Drosophila melanogaster: one gene and its partner. The protein of the gene in region 1 interacts with the protein of each later gene in a pairwise test. Each region holds a gene or a part of one and is shown in the gene's direction. Other genes may lie near its edges.

What was found. Proteins that work in one complex are often made in the same cells at the same time.
Region 2: the proteins of corolla (region 1) and cona interact in a two-hybrid assay, tested with the Drosophila melanogaster proteins (one study listed by BioGRID).

The regions. Positions count from the first base shown.
Region 1 is NC_004354.4:17,625,695-17,637,672, reverse strand, and holds corolla (corolla), read left to right. Parts: upstream 1-5,625; 5' UTR 5,626-5,673; coding exon 5,674-5,791; intron 5,792-5,855; coding exon 5,856-6,146; intron 6,147-6,303; coding exon 6,304-6,491; intron 6,492-6,543; coding exon 6,544-7,611; 3' UTR 7,612-7,882; downstream 7,883-11,978. Other genes in the region: CG5800 (uncharacterized protein), read right to left, coding at 1-842, 919-1,305; CG8289 (uncharacterized protein), read left to right, coding at 1,747-2,331, 2,696-3,099, 3,320-3,341; ND-24 (NADH dehydrogenase (ubiquinone) 24 kDa subunit), read right to left, coding at 4,240-4,410, 4,565-5,083, 5,213-5,251; CG8326 (uncharacterized protein), read left to right, coding at 8,250-8,332, 8,402-9,317; stas (stasimon), read left to right, coding at 10,223-10,244, 10,433-10,733.
Region 2 is NT_033777.3:18,380,023-18,387,387, forward strand, and holds cona (corona), read left to right. Parts: upstream 1-5,805; 5' UTR 5,806-5,899; coding exon 5,900-6,004; intron 6,005-6,064; coding exon 6,065-6,364; intron 6,365-6,436; coding exon 6,437-6,612; intron 6,613-6,683; coding exon 6,684-6,726; 3' UTR 6,727-6,865; downstream 6,866-7,365. Other genes in the region: CG7675 (uncharacterized protein), read right to left, coding at 191-331; CG14309 (uncharacterized protein), read right to left, coding at 1,927-4,198, 4,287-4,610, 4,675-4,979; Vha100-4 (vacuolar H[+] ATPase 100kD subunit 4), read right to left, coding at 6,925-7,190, 7,247-7,365.

The DNA.
Region 1 (11,978 bases):
TCCAACTGCACCACCCAATTGACGGCAGGAAAGTCCAGACCGCGCGATGCCACATCAGTGGAGAACATAACGACGTGGCTCTTGCGAAGGAAATCCTCGTAGATGGCAATGCGACGATCCTGATGGAGCGTTCCATAGAGAGCCAGCAGCGGGCTACCCGGCCGCAGTTTACAAAATATCTCGTACAGGTACTTGGCCTGCTTGCAACTGGCCACGAACACAATGATCTTCTGCTTCAAATGGTTCTTGATGAACGACCACAGCATGGTGATCTTGTCCTCCAGGTTCAACACCACATAACTCTGCTGCAAAAGCTCAGGAACTGCCAAGACAGCTGTGTTCGGAGTCTTCTTCGTGCTGGCGCTGGGCTCTTCTCTTGGCGTCGCTCCTCCGTAGCCTACGTAGACCGGATCCTTTAGATTAAGCCTCGCCAAATCCTGCACCGTATTCGTTTGCGTGGCCGAGAATAGCAGCGTTTGACGCACTGGTGGGAAATTTTCTATGATTGAATTCAGGGTCTTCTGGAAACCCATATCCAAACAGCGATCGGCTTCATCCAGGACCAACATCTCCATGGTGCTCGTATTAAAGAGAGGATTCTCGTCCATGTGCTGCAGCAGCCTTCCGGGTGTGCAGATCAGTATGTTGCACTGGTCCATGCGAGTGCGCTCGAACTTCAGGTTCTTGCCTCCGATGATGAGGCCGGCGGAGAAGTCGTGGTGCTTTCCCACCTTCTTTAGGGTCTCGAAGATCTGGTAGGCTAGCTCGCGGGTGGGCGAGATGATGATAGCGCCAACGCCATCGGTGCGCGACCATTTGTTCATGAACAGATGCTCCAGAACCTGCAATAAATGGACCATTGCATATATAACTTACAGCCGGCAATTTCTTTCGAAGAAGGGACGAGGACCAACTTACGGGTATGAGAAAGGCCAGTGTCTTGCCACTGCCTGTGATGGCCGCGCCCAGCACATCCTTGCCCTGCAGTGCGGGTCCAATGCTGTCCCGCTGCACCTGCGTGGGATGCACGAATTTGGACTCCGCCAGTGCCTTTTGGGTCTTCTTGGACAGCGGAAACTGGGCGAACTTCTTAATGGCAGTAGCATCGATCTCTGCGTATTTGGTCTTGAGGTCCTGGATCTCCGCTTCGGTGGCGGCCAGTCGCGACTTGTTGATCTCCTGGCGCGGACGCTTCTGGCTGTTGTCGCCGCTTTTCCGGCCACCACCAGCTCCTTTGAACGTGCCGGATCCCGGCTTGAAACGCGAACCCGGTTTGCCGGGTCCCTTGGGTTTCTGGCGCTGCATACCCTCTGTTTATTGACCAAAATGCGGTCGTTTCGAAACGTATTGAAATTCGCACGCGGTTGGAATTAGGGATGAGAGAAGAAACGATTATTCAATCGATTAATTCGCATTTCAAGTCGAATGTATCGACCACTAATTTGTATTACCGTTTCTAGAAATTTGGAAAGAATTAATTTTCTTACTTTCTTACTTCGATTCGATCTCGGGATCTCGATTGATAAACATTAAATAAATATTCCCAGGAAATATAAATATATATATATTTATAAAACTGCATATCCCGACTTCGTGATTTTTTGTTTCTTGCAGTCTGGTAACACTGCCAAGTGTACAGTCGTCAAAAAACTCTATAAAGAATTTGTTTTGCTGGTACGCGGCAATTGAAATCGCCACCGTAGAGCAAATTGGACGTTGTCACACAACCGGATAAACAAGTGCATTATGGCCAAGGCGAGTAAGAAGGTGGCAGAAAGTAAGCGCAGGAACGGAGTCGCCAACGAGAGCGAAAACGAGGAGATTGACCAGCAAAAGTCCAATGGGACAGGTCGATCGTCCAGGAAGACGCCGAACAAACGAAAGGCCAAACTGACTGTGGCCTCTGACAGCGAAGACAGCGATTGCCAGACCTCTACCTCCAACGTGGATGTACCAGCTGCAAGGAACAAGCGCAAGGTGGGCAAGGCCAGGAACGCCACCACTTCGCCCCGCAAAAATGGCAAAAAAATCGTTATAGAGGATTCGGATGATGATGCTAATCATTCCGATGTAGACCCTAGTGCCGACAGTTCGCCAAGGAAGCCAAATATCAAACGCCAGACACGGCGATCCGTGCGCGGTGAAACGGAAGATAGCAATGAACTGCCCTCCACCTCCAAAGCCTCTGCACATGCATCAAGTCCGATCAAGAAGCGCAAGCTGAGCAGGGCTTCGACTTCTTCCGTCAAAAATGGCAAGAAGGTTGCTGAAAAGGATTCGGAATCCGATGTCGATGCTGGAACAGAGGATGAGAAATCAGCTCAACCCCAGGTGAGACATCAATTCGAGAAATCAAAAAATACTAGACCCAATTAGATATTGAACCCTCAGTAAATTCTACGAAATTCTAGTCAGCAATTACAAAACATTGAGACTCAAAACCTTTCGAAAAGGTTAGATTATGATGACTGTACTATTATTCGAAATCATTAGCGCTAACTGGCGTACATATAAAAATGTATGCTTTTAAAACATTACACTGAAACGCTGATGAGAAAGTGTAGTCAGTTGAGAGTAATTTCGTTATATGGCGGTTATCTTGGCCAAAAATGCCTCATACTTTAAGATTCATTTTATTTATAGGACAGTATTTTGATCAATGAAGTCCAACTTTTTTATCTTTGCTGCTTTGCAGAAGGTTGCAGCTAAATCGAAGTCCTCGCCAAACGCTAAGAAGGCTAAGGGACGTGGTCGACGGAACGCCGGCACCAAGAAAGCCGACGATTCAATCGACCCAGAAAAGCAATGGGAAGTCGAAAAAATTCTTGATCACGTTGCCACCAAGGAGGGCGACATGTTTAAGATCCGATGGAAGAAGTATGGACCGAAGGATGATTCCTGGGAGCCGAGTAAGAATCTGGCGTGCGATGCGCTTATCGAAAAGTTTATGCGGAAACAAGCAACCCAGGAGAACGTGGACGTTAAGGAGCTGCGCGAATCGCCCAAGAAGACCGAGCGCCTCGTCGATGAATGCTATCCCAGGACAAATCTGCACAATCGTATTGAACGCTCCTCGAAGCGCTCTTCCGCCAAAAACCGGTGCGTTTAATATCTCTATATACACAATAAGGTTAGAATAACGACACAGCTGTGAAGTATTAAATTCAGTTATTCCTCAGTTGATACTTTCAGTTTATATTTGCCCGTTTCGTTGCTTAATTTCACGCATTGTGTCTGATTTCTTCATTATTTTGTTTATAGTTTTGATATCCACACTCAACCATGTTACTCATATGTCAATAAACCTTTATACTTTCAGCATTTTCTACGGCGAGGAGTGAGGAAGGGCAACAAGGAAGGAAATCCATGTAGGAATTTAGTACACTTTTTTTTTTTTACATATAATATTACAACACATGCGGACCGAAGTACGCGGAAAGGTGACCCATGGCGGCTCCAGTTAGATTTTAACGGAAAATTTCCCTTATCGTTATTGGTTTTAAAAAAGCTCGCGGGCGGAGCCAATCCACATCATGTCCACAATCCTGACTATTGGCGGACAACTTTACGGGCAACACAAATAACTAAATATTAAATTCGGATTTTAGTACATAAGTAAAAAGGACAGGCAATCGACTGCATCACAGTGCGTACATACATGTAGTATTATATCTGGTTAATTGCACTCAACCAGCGTAGAATGTAAGGCATCATTTCTGTAGCTTTAGTTTTATCCTTTGAGTAATTGATGTTTGTATTGGTCAATTGCCACAGCTGAAAATAGCCTCTCAACTACTCTTCCAATCATCTTAATTCATAATATTCGTTCTTACGTACGTACGCCATTGTACATACAATTATAATGAGCGAACATTATAATTAGTAATGGAACATGCGTACGTATGCAATAGTAAACATCCATTATAATTAGCAATGGGAACCTGCCGTTTCCACTACAAAATAAAATCATTTATTGGTCAAGATATGAAAAACGCACATTTGGCTTGCATTGGGGTTCTGGCGATCTTCCACATCTAATTGAATGTACTAGTATTCTCGAGTTCGTTGGGAGTTATTATTTTATGTGTAACCTTTCAAAATGGAAACTTTCCAATGGAAAGTGAGCATATTTTTAAAAAAAAATCCAAAAATCCTTTATCAATGACCTCTATAAGTTGCTTAACATTTATTTAACTTTCGTTCGACAATCAGTGATAGGTTCTGCTCCTTGCTCATCCTCTACAGACCGGCCTGCAGACCAAAGCCAGGACCCTTGGGCTCCTCGCTCAGGGAAGTGGGCTCGCCCTTTGGCTCGCTGGCAAAGCGTCCGTTGCGTGGCCCAGGGGGCGATATCTTATCCGCCTTCAGGTCGTTCAGGATGTCCTGCATGTCCTTGGATGTCAGATCCTCCTGCAAAGTAAAAAAAAAACGTTAGCAATGTTTGCACAATATAGAGTCGATTTCAGCGCATTAAGATTGAAACGCTGGACGAGGCTGAGAGTGAAACTGGCGTTTCCTACAAACAAATGACCAGGAAACACATTTAGCAATTAGAATTGCTTACATAGTAGTCATCGTTGATCGCCACCATTGGCGCATTGACACAGGCGCCCAAGCACTCGACCTCCGAGATGGTGAACTTCCTGTCCTTGGTGGTGTCGCCGACGCCGATGCCCAGCTGCTTCTTGCAGGTCTCCAGGATGTCGTCCGATCCGCGGAGCCAGCATGGTGTGGTGGTGCACACCTGGATGTGATACTTGCCAGTGGGCTTGCGCATGAACATCGTATAGAAAGTGGCCACCTCGTAGACGCGCATATTGGGCAACTGGAGAATCTCGGCCACCTTGTGCATGGCAGAGATTGGCAGCCAGCCGTACTGGCGCTGTGCCAGATCAAGCAGCGGGATCATGGCGCCGCGCTTGTGCCCCTCCGGATAGATGCTGAGTATGGCCTCCACGCGCTTCTTGTTCTCCGCCGTGAACTCGAACGGGATGTTGGGATTATCCTCCGGTGTGTCGCGATGGACGAACAGATTGTCGCTGGCCCGGGCACTGCTGGTGGCAATTGCCCGGATGTTGGCGCGCTGCAAATAACAACACATATCCTTAATGTTATTGTTTTCCTGTCGCCAATTATATAACTCGGGGAACAGGTTGCCTTCCCTGGTTGACACCGCGAATTACTGGACAGTTTGGATGGCTGCGCTACTCACCACGGCGGCCAGTGTTTTGGAGGCACAGTTTGTCAGCATTCTGGCGTTTCCAAAATAATGAAAAGGCTGAAAATTTGCTCTTATGTTATGTGAAGTCCGTCGGCTGCTGTCAGTTTTTTTTTAACAAGCACCGCTTACAGCTGATTTTCGGCGGAGCGTTTGCCAACACTGGCACTTGTCGTCAGAGATGAGCAAATCTCTACAAATCTTGTACAACATTAATAAAAAAAAGCTTAAACAAATAAAACTTGTAATTAAATTAATATTCAGCGGTACGTTACATTTTTTTATTCCTTTTTAAAATAAGTTTTCTAAAACAGTAAGCGATATATATCGCTGTGACTTCAGTATCTATGACACTTTTCAACAATGATCGCTGTGCCTTAGCATTCGATATCCGATAAATTACTGAACGCGCAAACTTGTAAGCTTATCGGGGGGAAACATTGAACGGACAAAATATGGAAAAATATCCACTTGTCAAAGAATTTATGGGGCAAAATTGGCCAAAAGATACCAAAATGGCGCAGCTCGAGAAGGAACTCAAGAAAAGGAAAGAATTGATCGTCGAGGAGCAGAGTGAGTGGGCATAATGCGCGAATCTCCAAGTAAGATTTATACATACATGTTTCTGCTTGTTCAGTTGTAGGGCCGCGTTTGGAGCAGGTGCTATTCGACCTGACCTTGGTCAAGCAGTGCGCCTTGGTAGTGGAGGATAACGGTGCCGGTATGGCACAGGCCAACACCATGATACAGGACTGTATGTTCCAGATCACGCGAATTGAGGAGCTGCTCGAAATGGCCGGGCTGCAGGACATCCTCTACTACACGGTGCATCGCAAGGAGCAGGAGTTCCAGCGCAAAATTAAGCTGCAGGAGGATTTGGCCGAGCAAGAGAATCAGCAGAACACAATCCTCGAATCGCGCAGCATCGGTAAGATTTTGTATGAGGTATTATTGAATACGGAATCCATTTGAATGCTATATAATCATAAACAATAAAAAACATTTTGTTTAATATTTTTTACCCTATGTGATAGTATAAGTTCATTTGTGTTATTTAAATGATTCTCAAGTAGCTTCTATTTCAGTCCAGGAATTCCGAAAAGAGCAAGCCTTAAAAAAAGAGGCAGATAAGGAGCTAGCCTCAGTGGACGACCAACTGGACCAGTCGGATCGCGAGTGGACAATTACGCTGAGAAGTATGACGGATAAGCTTAATAAGAAGATAGTCAGCGTTTTACAGATGGGAAAGCTGATAAACGAATTGAAGGAAGAGGTGAGTAGCTGCGAAATATCCATTCCAAGTGAATAACTTTTCCGTTTTTCAGTTGCAAAAAAGGAATTTGATTAAAACGGGTGTCACTAAGGGCGCTGAACCAAGTTTGGCTGGTGTTCCATCCGCTAGCACCATTTCACCATTTCAGTCCGCTTCGGATTTCCTCAACAACTTCATCTTTAAGAATATCAGACCAGATGACAATAAATCCATGACGAGCGTGAATAGAGAGATCACTACTAAGAAGCTGGAGACTCCTCTGCGATCCATTTTGATCAAATGCAAGGAGGTCGAGTCTGTTGCCATTTCCAACTCGCCAACAAAGCAAGTGCGTTTTTCTCCCTATCCAGAGATAAGCCATATCGAAGAGGAGAAATTTGAGAAGACCGATTGGCTTTCTCCTTCAGAAGAGGCAGGTGTCCCAAATGCGGAATTAGAAGAGGACAGTGACGAAATGGAGGCCACAGACGAAGATTTTGAGGAAATATCAGAAGAAGAATTCGAAATGGCGCTGAAAGATGAAGGATTTGAGCAGGAGGTAAAAGTAGAAAAGTCAGAAGAGGTTTTGCATCTAGAACAGGATAGATATGATGAGAAATCTGGCTCAGAAGTCGAGGAATCCGTATCGGATGACAAGGAATCCGGAGGGGAGGCTTCAGGAGAGGAGGAGCCGGCTGATGCGGCCAAACAAGTAAAAATCGGCGAAAACCCGAAGACTGATGAGCAGCTATCCAATGAAATTTCCGATAAACCACAAATAATTAGAGTCGACACTCTCTCTCCCTTCAAAAACATATCTTCCTGGGCCAGCGACGATATACCCAGCACCTCCAAGGGCACTCTTAATCGTTTTACTGCAACCCAGTTTATGAACTATGGTAGCAATCGCGATGAAAACGAGGCGCCGCCTTGCAAGCGACTAAAATTGGAGGAGGAGGAGTTCCCAATGAGCCAACCAATGCCGGATTACTTTAAGCATCCGTCGTCCACATTCAACAACTTTGATGATCAATCACTTCGATTCAGCTCGCCCCACAACAATTTTGACGATGATTACCTGCTGAACTTCAGCGATGATAATGATGTTACACCTACTGCCGCCTCGGCGTACATACTTTAAATTGTTAACGTATTTTGGTCAAAAATTAATGTATGTTCTTTATAAGAACGGACAATTAATTAATATCCAGATACTTATTCATTCATTGCCATTTGCAATCAAAAAAAATTTCACTTCAGCTAAATTATTTGTAGCTTTATAATGAAATTAATTTGCGTACATAATATGCATATGTACATTTAAATCATACGTATTCAGTTCGAAAGTGCCGTTTCAGACTTATTCTTCATTTTGTCGTTGCTTATAAACTAATAAAACAATAAATTAAGACAAATTCGTGACTTTAAATATTTAATTTTACTGCAAACAGTAAATTTTACCACTTGCAATAAAATACTTTTCTCATTACAGCATATAAATCTTTATTAAAAATGTATATTATAAAATAGGGGAATATGAAGACTACTTAATACAATACATAGTGTAAAATACATTTATATATTTAATCTAATATATATTTAACTTTAATATTTCATTTGTAATTCTGGGCGCCAATGGTTTGAGTCCAAGCTTTAATCGATTTGGTATATTTATGGTTTGTTTTGGTATTTGTCAGCATGCATCGCGCTTAGTATTTTAACCCATGCTGTCGATACCACGAGTTTGTTTTACAAAAATTGAACCAAAACCCAAAATAAATGGCTCGGAAACGAAAGATTCCCGTGCGCAAGCACCACGGCGTCCGTGATCCCCTCAAGCAGCTGGAACAGAAGGAGAAGAAGTTTGTTCATAGTGGCAAGTCAGTCGAAAAAGGCAGCTAAACTAATATCTGCACCATTTCACATTTCAGACTTTCCAAAGTAACGAACAATCCGCCTGTGAAAAAGGATGAGCAGCAGGTGTCCTTTAAGTTCCGTCAGTTTCAGCAGCTTGCCAACGCCACCAAATCGGGCAAGAAGCTAAGATTGGGCGAAATTGGACGGGAGGATAAGCCCAAATCCTCTCCAGGATCCAAGCCTGGCAGTAGTTCCTCCTCAAAGGAAACGCGTAACATCAAGCAGTTCGCCAACGAAACGGACGAGGATTATCTGCGCCGAGTGAATCGCATGACCAATGCATCCGTACGGGAAGCCCACTACGAGGCCAAGTATGGTGTGAACGTGATCAGAAACCCCAAAACCGGGGAGATTACTGTCCAAAAGAGGCCGAAAAACGAGATCGACGAGCTGCTCAAGCAGAAGCAAAAGGAGCAACGGCTGGCGGGCAAAAGGGGTCGCAAAAAGGTTCAAGTCGTACACAAGCCCATGGATGCGAAGACCAGTCGCGAATTGGTGAAGAGGGCCTACAAGGAGGCCCAGCAAGAGGTTGATACCGAGGAGAAGCAGAATGCCGGGCCAACAGAATTCAAACAGGATGCTGTGGCATTTGGTGAGATCGTCCATGCCCCACCTTCCCTCAAAATCCTGCCGCGCAAAGCGGAAAAAAGTGAAACCGTGCCGCGTCCAGGACGCAAAGCCAATCTCCTTCTAAAGTCCATGCTGAATCCCGACCAGGGTCAGTCAAATCGTGGGCCGGAGGACGACGACAGCAGTCGACTAAAGCTGGCTGCCCAATCTAAGAGCGCCTTCAAAGCACCCACCAAGGCCCAGATGAAGGGCAAGCGGAAAGATCTGCCCTTGGCTACGAGGTCAATGCTTGAAACCGAGCGCAGCAAAATGGTTCAGCTATACCGTCAGCTCAAAAACAAGACAACAGCAGATTCCTAACAGATTCTAGACTAGATACCAACGTACTTTTTTTTTTACATGAAAACAAGTTAACCTAATCCCTTAAGTTTCGTGAATGCGTTTGCTACCCACTGAAGGTCGTAGTTTCATTATAGAATGTTAAATATATTGATGAGATTTTTATTAAATCTATTTTCATACAAAATAAAAAGTGCACTGTTTAATTCCACTATTTCTATCAGTATTTCATGGAGGTGGTAATTAATATGGAGTCTTTTGGCAAAAAGAAAAAGGGCACTATTATGTTGATATTTATAGATACAAAAAAAGTACTTCACTTGCTTATGCAGACACTCACATTTTTTTATTTACGTATAACATTAAAAAATATAAATAAAATTTAGAGAAACTAAAAAGTGGCGCTAAATATGACAGTATGACCAGATTTTATTAGAAACCCACGTTCAGTTTTGTGCGGTAGCTGTGTACACGCTTGGACTTAATCAACACTGCGCCTTCGGCCACACTGGTCGTGACGGAAATTTCTGAAATTAATTTATTTTAAATTGACTTTTAAGCGTGATCGTTCGCCGAAAAAGTCGGCTAAAGTGAAAAGCAATAGAAAAAATTTAAAAAAATTGCTATTAGCGCAGTAGTCAACTACAATTACTCTAGTTAACGCAGTTTTAGCCAACTTCCTATTTTTTTTATATTGATTAAATTCATTGTTGTAGACACACGCACATACACATACGCATAGGCACGCGGATAGAGAGAAGAACAACAAATTGTGACTGGCGCGCAAATAGGCACACAAATAGCATTAACAATTGATAAATAGCCTAGACGCTAAATGAGTCAATCGTGAATTAAAATCGGATATAGAAGGCTTATTAAATTTTCCTTCTTCAACTCGGGCTTACGTACATCGTGTCAAAGCCACAATGTCTTACTGCAGTGGTGTGGGTGAGTGTGCTGTTTTAGTTGTTTTTACTTATCAGCTGAGCGAAGGAACGGTGATTAACCCGCAGCTAGTGCGCAGCCCGTGAAGCCAAAAACGACTATTAACCCTTAGTCCGTGCATTCTGTTCACCACCACCACTTCTGCTTTGGAATGCATATTACATCTGCATGTCTCTGTTTTTTTTTTCTAGCCATTTCCGCTGACGAGGGGATTACAATGCGCAATGGCAGGGCAAAGGCGCTCCAGGAACACTCCCCGGATCAGGTGGCTACTCCACTGTTGCCACAGGTGCCGCCACAGGAGCAACAAGATCTTAATCCACAGCAACAACAGCAGCAGCAGCAACAACAACAGGCCACTCCGCAAAAGCAGGCCATGTCCGCAGACGAGAAGAAGGCCACCAAGAAGTCCCTGGTCATCGTAGCGGGCATTTTTGTGGCCAGCTTGGTCACCATGTGCTATGTGTACGCCATATTCCCCGAGCTCAACGCGTAAGTGGGTCTTTCTGGTGCTAAAGCGCCACAAATGTGTGTCCCCTGCGCATTCGTGCACCTGTAAGGTGTTAAGTGGCCTCCATGTGTGTGTGTGTGTATGCTTAGCTTGTCTCGCTTGATTTGCGAGCAGAGATGTCGACCAATGATCCGCTTAAAATAGCTAGGCTACATCCAACTATGATTAGATATGCTAGGTAGTCATTTACCTAATGCTAGTTATCTCCATTTCGCTTCTAAAACAATATTTTATGTTTAAATATCATAGATATTACATTTGTAGGATGTAAAACTCTTATTGCAAATACTTATTATTGGCTAGATCAGACATAACTATTTGTATGTAGTGAGAAAAGGGCCATTTAATTGTCCAAATATTTACTATAACAGCCATGTTAAATAAGTAACTTAACTCAAATGTCACGCTTTGCATAAGAAAAACTTTCTGCACACGATTATTATTATCTTTAAACTTTACCTAAAGCGGATTGTTATTTGATAGTCTGGTTCTGTGAGTGAGTAAACTTATTTTGTTTAAAGTTCAAGACGTTTGTGTACATATACTTCTATCAATTTGAATTCATCAGAATTTGATTTGCATGGAATCAGCAAGTCAGAGAACAATCTTTGTTTTTTTTTTGTCAAATTTGATCAGCAAACGTAACGTGTTGAAAACTATAAGTGCAGATCCCTCTAATCTTTTTCAAAGTCCCTTGGCAGACCCATTATTCTTATTGATAATGCTGTGAAATTTTACTTATCTATTTTGTTGTTCTTTTTTGTGTTCGTGCCTTTTCACTGCATTGGCATACAGTGATTATAAAGTAATTGAAATAGTAACCAAATCATGATACCTTTTACGGCATTATAAAAACACTTATCTGTATATCGTGAGTTTGCTTCCATTTAAGAGGCGTTTTTGGGCAGTAAAGATAGGAACTATTTACAAAGAGTTATTAAAGTATAGTATTCAATAAATAACAATGGTTTTCTATTTAGATAGTTAATCAAATAGTAATATTATATACCAGTCCCTAGCAACCAAACTTATCTAAATTTGTAAATTAAGAAATATTTCAATTAAGCTCCAGTTGAGTAGCCAGATTTGACTGGAAAATGGCTGAAATTACAGAGCTATCTGGCGAGAGGGTTTACTCGCACACACACACACACACACATCGAGTCACGCCACCGATATATGAAGTATTTGTATATATATACATATATACATAGACTGTGTTTACA
Region 2 (7,365 bases), on another chromosome or scaffold:
CCGAATACTGTTTTAGTAAACTATCCCACCATCATTTGTATGTATATGACAGCTCATCTACAAGATCTGAAAAGAATTCGCAGCGGAAGTGGGAGCAACAGCCATATAAAGTGCGAAATATTCGAGTCGTGTCGCGATTCTGGGGAGCATGGGACTTGGTTTTTTGGATTGGGTGAGGTGCGTTCGTTACCTCGGTGAAACATCGTCCCGCCGTGATGCGCAGATAGAACCGAATGCTCATCAGGGTGGCCACTATGGCGGCCACTGAAGTCATGAGGAAGATGTCGCGCACATAGTGCTCGGTCGACAGCCAACCGAAGATGAAACCCATCCTACAAATATGCCGAGGTGTGTATACTATATATTGTATCTTCATATACGTATATATCGGTGTCAACATGCAAATCAGATTATATAATAACCGAAGCTGCCAAAGCCAGACGATTGTCTTAGGGCATAACGAAACGAGTTTGGTTTTGGGTTTTGGGGTTTCATGGTTTTGGGGATATTGGTTAGTCGGCGAAGGTTTTCACAATTCAAATCGTTTATCAGTGACTGTCAATAAATCAATTTCGAAAACTGTTGAGAAAACTTACACTTTCACTTTCACACATGTGCGTAATTATGGCTTATTATGATGAAACGCCGAAAAAAATAACATTCAACCAAGTTCATTGACAGCCCAAACGAAAGAAGGTTGAACAAGAAAGAAAGTCTGAAGTTTCATGTCGTTTTGAGTTTCTGGTTTTTTCTTCTCTGTTTGTTTTTTTTTTCCCCCACCGTCCACGTCACAAAGATTTCCAAGAGCTTTCCTCAAGACTCGAAGACTGGCTCTGGTTACGCTTGCATGCACCATTTAAGAACCCCCCCAACCGAACCACGCCCTACAATGCAGTCTCGAAAAGAAACAAGATCTATAGATGTATGAAAAAGTCTAGAAGTGACCCGTTTTTGGGTTTTGTTCCTCAACTTTTGCCAGTCGGAGACGAGTTTTTTAGTGCAAACTCACCTGTTTTGGCTGTTGGCTGATCTATAATTTATTCCAACTTCTGCTGACCTGCACTTTGGACTATATCTGCGCTGCGAAATGGAATTGGTGGATCCAAGAGCTAGTGCCACAACCTTCGCCTTGAACGACTAATCGGAGACTGAAGTCGGAATTCCGATTATAAAGCCGAGGCTGCGGAGAATGCGCGATCGTCTCCACCGGTTTGGTATTGCCGTGGTCGCGGTGATTTTGTTATTGCACTTATAGCCATGGTAACAGGTTAGCCAAGCGGCTTTCCGGGCTCCTCTTTGGGATCGTCTTCATGAACGGTTCACTCGCAGCGAAAGAGCGAGCACAGAGTGGAGCCAAACTATAATACATAGTTACCAGCGGTAAGAGAAAGATCTGGGTAGTGGATTCCAAGAAAGTGTGTCTAGAAAGCCACCTGTCGGGGGCTTCGCAAAGCTTCTTTTCTAGTTATGCAGCTCGAATGATGAGCTTGAAATAATGTAGAAAATAATAATGGATAGTAATTAACTTTTTTAATGACCAAGACTTTATTACTATTTGAAGTACTACGGGTAATTGTATAAACATGTCAGATAAAAATCTATTTTATTTTTCATTTCATATATCATTAACCGAGATACCACTGAAATATATCAACATTCTTTTCAATTCAATGCATTTTATTATAGAGATGACATATTCACAAGTACAATAAAGAATGCTCAACAATCTACCACAAGCTTAGTCTAAGCCCGTCTAGTTCGTTGCCTTAGTCCTGTATATAGCTTTATTTGAAAAATATAATTCCCTTAGAATTATCGCTCAAATATAATTCCTTTGAATGCAGTAATGTTTGAAAATAAATATATATTTACATTCGGTTATAATGCTGGCAGTTTAAACAAGGTCATATGGTAATATAAGTCATTCTACTTCTCAATGCTGTTTTGTCGGCGGGGTGGTTGGGTTTCCGCATCCGTTTCCAAGTGCTTGGTTAAGGTGTTGTACCATTCGTTCATATGGTTGGATATGATGTTGATGAAGCGAGATACCTTTGATTTCATAGTGCTCACGAGGCTTTCGGAGAGTTTAGTCAGACTACGACCAGAGGCCAGCGAATTCTTGCTGCTGATCCTCATGATCTTGGATTCCTTTTCCTCCCTGGGCTGGCTGGCATCCTTCTCTGCCTCGTGATCCATCTTGTACTCGTAGTAGGTGTACCTTCCCAGCGGCATCATCTCATCGCGATCTGCCTTGTCTATGGCATTGGAGGGCAGTTCAGCCAGGGAATTAGTGTTAAGTACGGCACGCCGCCTTCTCATAGCTGGTAAATCCCACCAGGAAGTGATACCCTCATCGGCTGGCTTTTGAGGCAATTTCGAATGAAGAGTAGGCGTTGCCTTCTTTCCCTCAAAATGATCCTGTATGAGGGACTTCCTACCGACATTCGCCGACTCCAGGGAACTTTCCCGCATGCCCTCATCTCCTAGAGAAAACTCGTGTTCATGCTCGTTGATGTGGCTGAGGAAATGCTTTCCAAGCTCTTTTTGGGCCTGCAAAAAGTCGTTGGCCACGTGACCTAGCCTGGAGTGACGCCTTCTAGCACTTGGCACCGGTTGCACATCCTCCTCGGGCTCGGACTCTTCAACAGACTTGGGTTTTTGGGACAGACTAGCCTTGGCCATGGTGGCCTTGCTGGAGAAGGGTTCCGGAAATAGCAGTGAGTTCAAGGTGGCTCCCAGATTTAATCGCTTGTTCTGCTTGGGAGCTGGTAGGGCCTCAAAGAATTCCGTGGGCAGTAGACGCAACTTGGGACGCCCTTCTGTTTGCTCCGGTTCCTGCTCCTGTTCATCCTCTTTGTCCTCCCTTTGAATGATCTTTAGCTGACTCTTGGACTTGGTCCTGCGCTTTTTGGGTACCTCCCGCTCAAGTTCCTCTTCGTTTTCCACCTCCCCATCCACAGTCTCAATGTGCTTCAGGTGGACATCACCCTCTGGAAGCCGTGTGTAAGTGGGTATTTCCTCGGATTTCTCTCCAATGCGCTTGAAGAACTTCTCCTCATCGAATTCATCGAAGTCGAAAAGGGGCTTATTCTTCTTTTCCGGCTTCCGGATCTCAGTAATCTTCTTCGTCAATGCTGTCTTCTTACCCTGGCGATTGTAGAAGAAGGGCCCGGAATAGCTGGATGTGTCGCGTCTCTCCCGCTTTTTGCCCATGTCACGGGTGTGCTCGAGCACTTGATACAGCCAGGCCAGAGCTTTATGAGGCTTAATAGCCTGTTCTTTGGACTTGTTCACTTCATCACCCACATCCCTCTTCAGCGGACCGTCATCCTTGAAATGGTCCAGTAGTCGATCTAGTAGGGTCTGTGACGTTTCCTCCTTATCAACGACAAATCTCCGATTGCGATTAATAGAACTCTGAACCGAGCCTCGGGCAACTGCAGTTTCCTCGATCAATCGTTGGAGTAACCGATCGGCGGAACTATAGCGGAATGATCGGCGCTTCTCCTTGGAGGACTCCCCACTCGAATCGCCTGCCTCGATCTCCGTGAACTGGCAGTGTTCCAGATTGACATCGGGCAGCACCCAGAAACTCACCGCCATGCTGGGCGTGATCAGTTGCAGTGGCTTTGTTGGATCAATGGGTTTGATCAGGGGACGCAAAGTGGTGTTCAAGTGCAAGCGGACATTATTCAGCTGGACCCTTTGATCATGGCCAGTCAGTACATACTGCCAAATCTCGCTACTGCTCAAACTACTGGTACTCTTCACAGTAATCGTTGTTGGCTGCTCCTCCGTATTTACCACCATGAATGCCAATCCTCCGGATACGGCATTTGCACAATGGGTATACAACTTGTTGCTCGGAGCAAAGGCGTTCAGAGGTCGGGCTGGGAACACCCTTGATCCCATGACCTTCTTGAACAAAGCAGTTACATACAGACTGAAGTTTGGTCGCTCGAAGTCCACCAAGTTCATTCGCTTAAATATAACATCGAATCCACTAGCGGCGGCATCTCCCATAGTTTGGGCCCACCGCAAGGCATCCGTGGTCTCGTCGCCCACCAATCTCTGCGAGGATCGCTCCTCCGGCAAGGTCAGCCACAAGGGAACGCGCTGTTGCTGAAGGGTTCGCAGGGCAGGATCGCTGTCGTACAAGTAGCTTCCCAGGCTTGATTTGGGCAGCATGTTTGCGGGTCTACAGTTGGAACAAAATAATTATTAAAAGGTAAGATGCTACTTCTATAATGTTCATAAATACATTCACTTCCAATCTCACTACTTACTGCGTCCATCCAAATGCCGTATTCAGATCCTTGGACATATCTACGTATCTCTTGGTCTCATCAGCACTGCTTCCAGCTGAAATGTCCGCTCCCATTAGTCGCCAGTCGTCCACATACGGTTTGAAAGTATCCGTCATCAGTTTGAGAGTTCGAAGTTCCTGGACGTAGTCCTTGGCTCTGGAGGTGCCAAAGTCTGTGCCCAGCTGCCAGATGCAGTCGGTGATGCCAACCATATAGGAGGTGTTCAGGATCTTCAGCGTATGCATGGAGTCCCAATCATCGGGCGCATAAGGCACCGGGATGATCATGGTCCAGTTTACGGCCCTTCGAAAAATAAGGTCAGATAGATGATCAGAAAATGGGAGGAAAGCCATCACCACCAACTTACCGCGACCACCGATTGAACCCCTTCCAAATGATTTTGGTGGGGTTTCGCAGCCTAGTTGGCGCATTGCTGGCGAAGTAAAAATCTCCCACGAACTTGATGTGCGCATCTCCCAGCAGATTCGCCAAATTGGTCACCGCCTTGCGGTTCTTGCCATCCAGGGCATCGTACAGATCCTCCGGACGAACGGCAAAACTGACAAACTTTTCGTTCACATCGTTGTAAGGACGATTCACATGGAGCTGAACCAGTGTATCCGCAAAGCACACTACCGCCAGTCCCAAAAGAGCCAAACACAAATGCCACATGTTTTAATCCAGAATTACGAATGGAAAGACCGGAGACCTGTCTGTTGCTCGATGGCTCCACAACTGACCGGAGTTTCATAATGACTACCTCTAAATAAACTCCCCACTCGATCATTTCCATCTGATTTCGCTGCCATCCGCAAGAATTTTGCGCTGATCGCTGCCCTCAATATGATGACCTTCTTCCAATGCACCACTAACGTAACCCAAACCCACATACAAGTGGGCCGTGGTTGGAATGCCGTGCTTATCAATGAACTATGAGATGACCCAATAAGGTTGGGGTAAATCTGCGGAGGCCAGTTCTTCGGCATCCTCGCTGGCGGTCACGGTTTGTTAGAAGAAAAGAGAAGAGAAACCGTCTCATTTTTTTAAATTAAGAAGGTTTCTCACACAAAGTTTAATGTTACGAACCATTTTGCAAAACAAATCACGTCAAAGCTTTCAGTTATACTCACAAAGTAAAAGGAGGGTATATTAGATTCGCTGAAAAGTGTGAAACATGTAGAAGAATATATTTTTATTATATATATTTATATTTTTGATCAGAGTCACAAGTCCAGAGTCAGAGTCGATCGTCCACAGTTTCTGTGATATACATAAATATATGAACATGAATGTGAATATAATGTATGCCAATTTCAGATATGGAAACTATTAAAGTTATGAAGTATTTGTGTTCTTTGACTAGAACGTAAATATTTCCAATTGGTGTAAATTTAAATAGCGCGCTCATCAACAGATCTATCACCAATAAGTGTGTAGAAAGTTGCTATCGTCATCGACCTATCTGCTGTTTTCCAACACTAAGTTGACCGCCATTTTGTACGTCAAAACAGAAATTTCGCCAAAACTTGAATAGAACGTTGCGACAATTATTATTACAGTTAAACAAATTGTTATCCAAAACTACATGAGCAATGGGTAGTAACCAAGATTGGAACAAGGAAGACTCCAAAACTGAGGTCCCACCTGAGGAAGATGACCAAGTGACAGCATACATTGAGAAATCAGTGGCCCAATTGGTAAGTTAAGAAAGGAAACATTTTTAGTTAAAATTTATATACATTTTGATATTATTGTAGGGCTCCGAAAATGATCACCGTACCGCGCTGGTCGATGAAAAGAAGAAGGAGTTGGATGTCCTGATTGCCGAGAAGTACACCACTTTGAACGACTTAACCCATGTCACCAATTCCCAGAATCTTGTGGACGACATCCACTTTCTGCATACGAAGAACGCCAAGATCCTGGAGAGCCTCAATCAGGCGGTCACCGCCAAGAGAAACGTCTCCCAGGCCTACGATGACCATTGCAAGAAGGCGCTCAAGGTCAAGGCCGAGATGCAGGAGCAGACGAAATGCTTCGATGAGTTCACCGTGATGGTATGTAATCTCCTCAAGAAACCAGTAATCTTGCAGGTTTGTAAAATTCTATCCAAATATTTTCTATTTCAGAACTACCACGATCTAAAGAAGACCATACTTAACACCAAGAAAGAAACGCAAGAAATTCGCGCTAAGACGGCTTTAAAGACCGAGGAGCTCAAAAAGAAGCGAGAATTTGTTAACACCACCCAAAAGTCAATGGCTAATGATATCCGTGTTCTAGGCCAGATCGAACATGACCTCATGTGAGTAACTATTAGGAGTTATAAAAAAACCGTACAAGAACATGTATCCCAAATGTTTGTTTTTTCCACAGTGGGATAATCGAAGACTTAAAATCCAAAATTTCTGCAATTTAAGTACAGGAAAACAAATAACACTTGAACAATCGCCAAAGGTGCATTGGAAAATACGGTCGTACCTCATCTTCCAAAAAATAATCCTTAATATTGCTGCGTTTTCCAAATAATTTGACAAATAAAGTACTTTTTATTCTGTAATGCTTTTTTAATTAAACCTTCTTCAAGGAGCGAATCACGATGGCTATCCTGATGGTTCTAATCATCTTCGACGACGATCAAAATATCCTTAAAGCTGAATGGCGTGAACGGATATCCGTTTCCCACATAGAACTTGCTCATGAACTCCACCCAGTGCAAGCGCAATGTGTGCAGGAAGGCGGAAAGACCCTCCATCATGACCATGATAGCGATGGTGAAAAACTCCCAAACGGCAAAGATGAAAAACAGCCCAATGGCGCCCACGTAGCCGTTCATCTGAAGTCCCATCGCCAGCACCATAGTCCACAGCACCTCCGATAGCTCTGAAATAAGATCTGCATGAAGTACAAATTCAATTACTGACTTAGCAGATTCTTACGGGCATGAGCTAAGGACAAGGCCCAGAGACGAAGATATGAGGCCGTGTGTGAGATGGTACTAAGGATATACTCGATTGTGTGGATGGCCTGGTGGATCCAGATTTCGCTCATCGGCTCG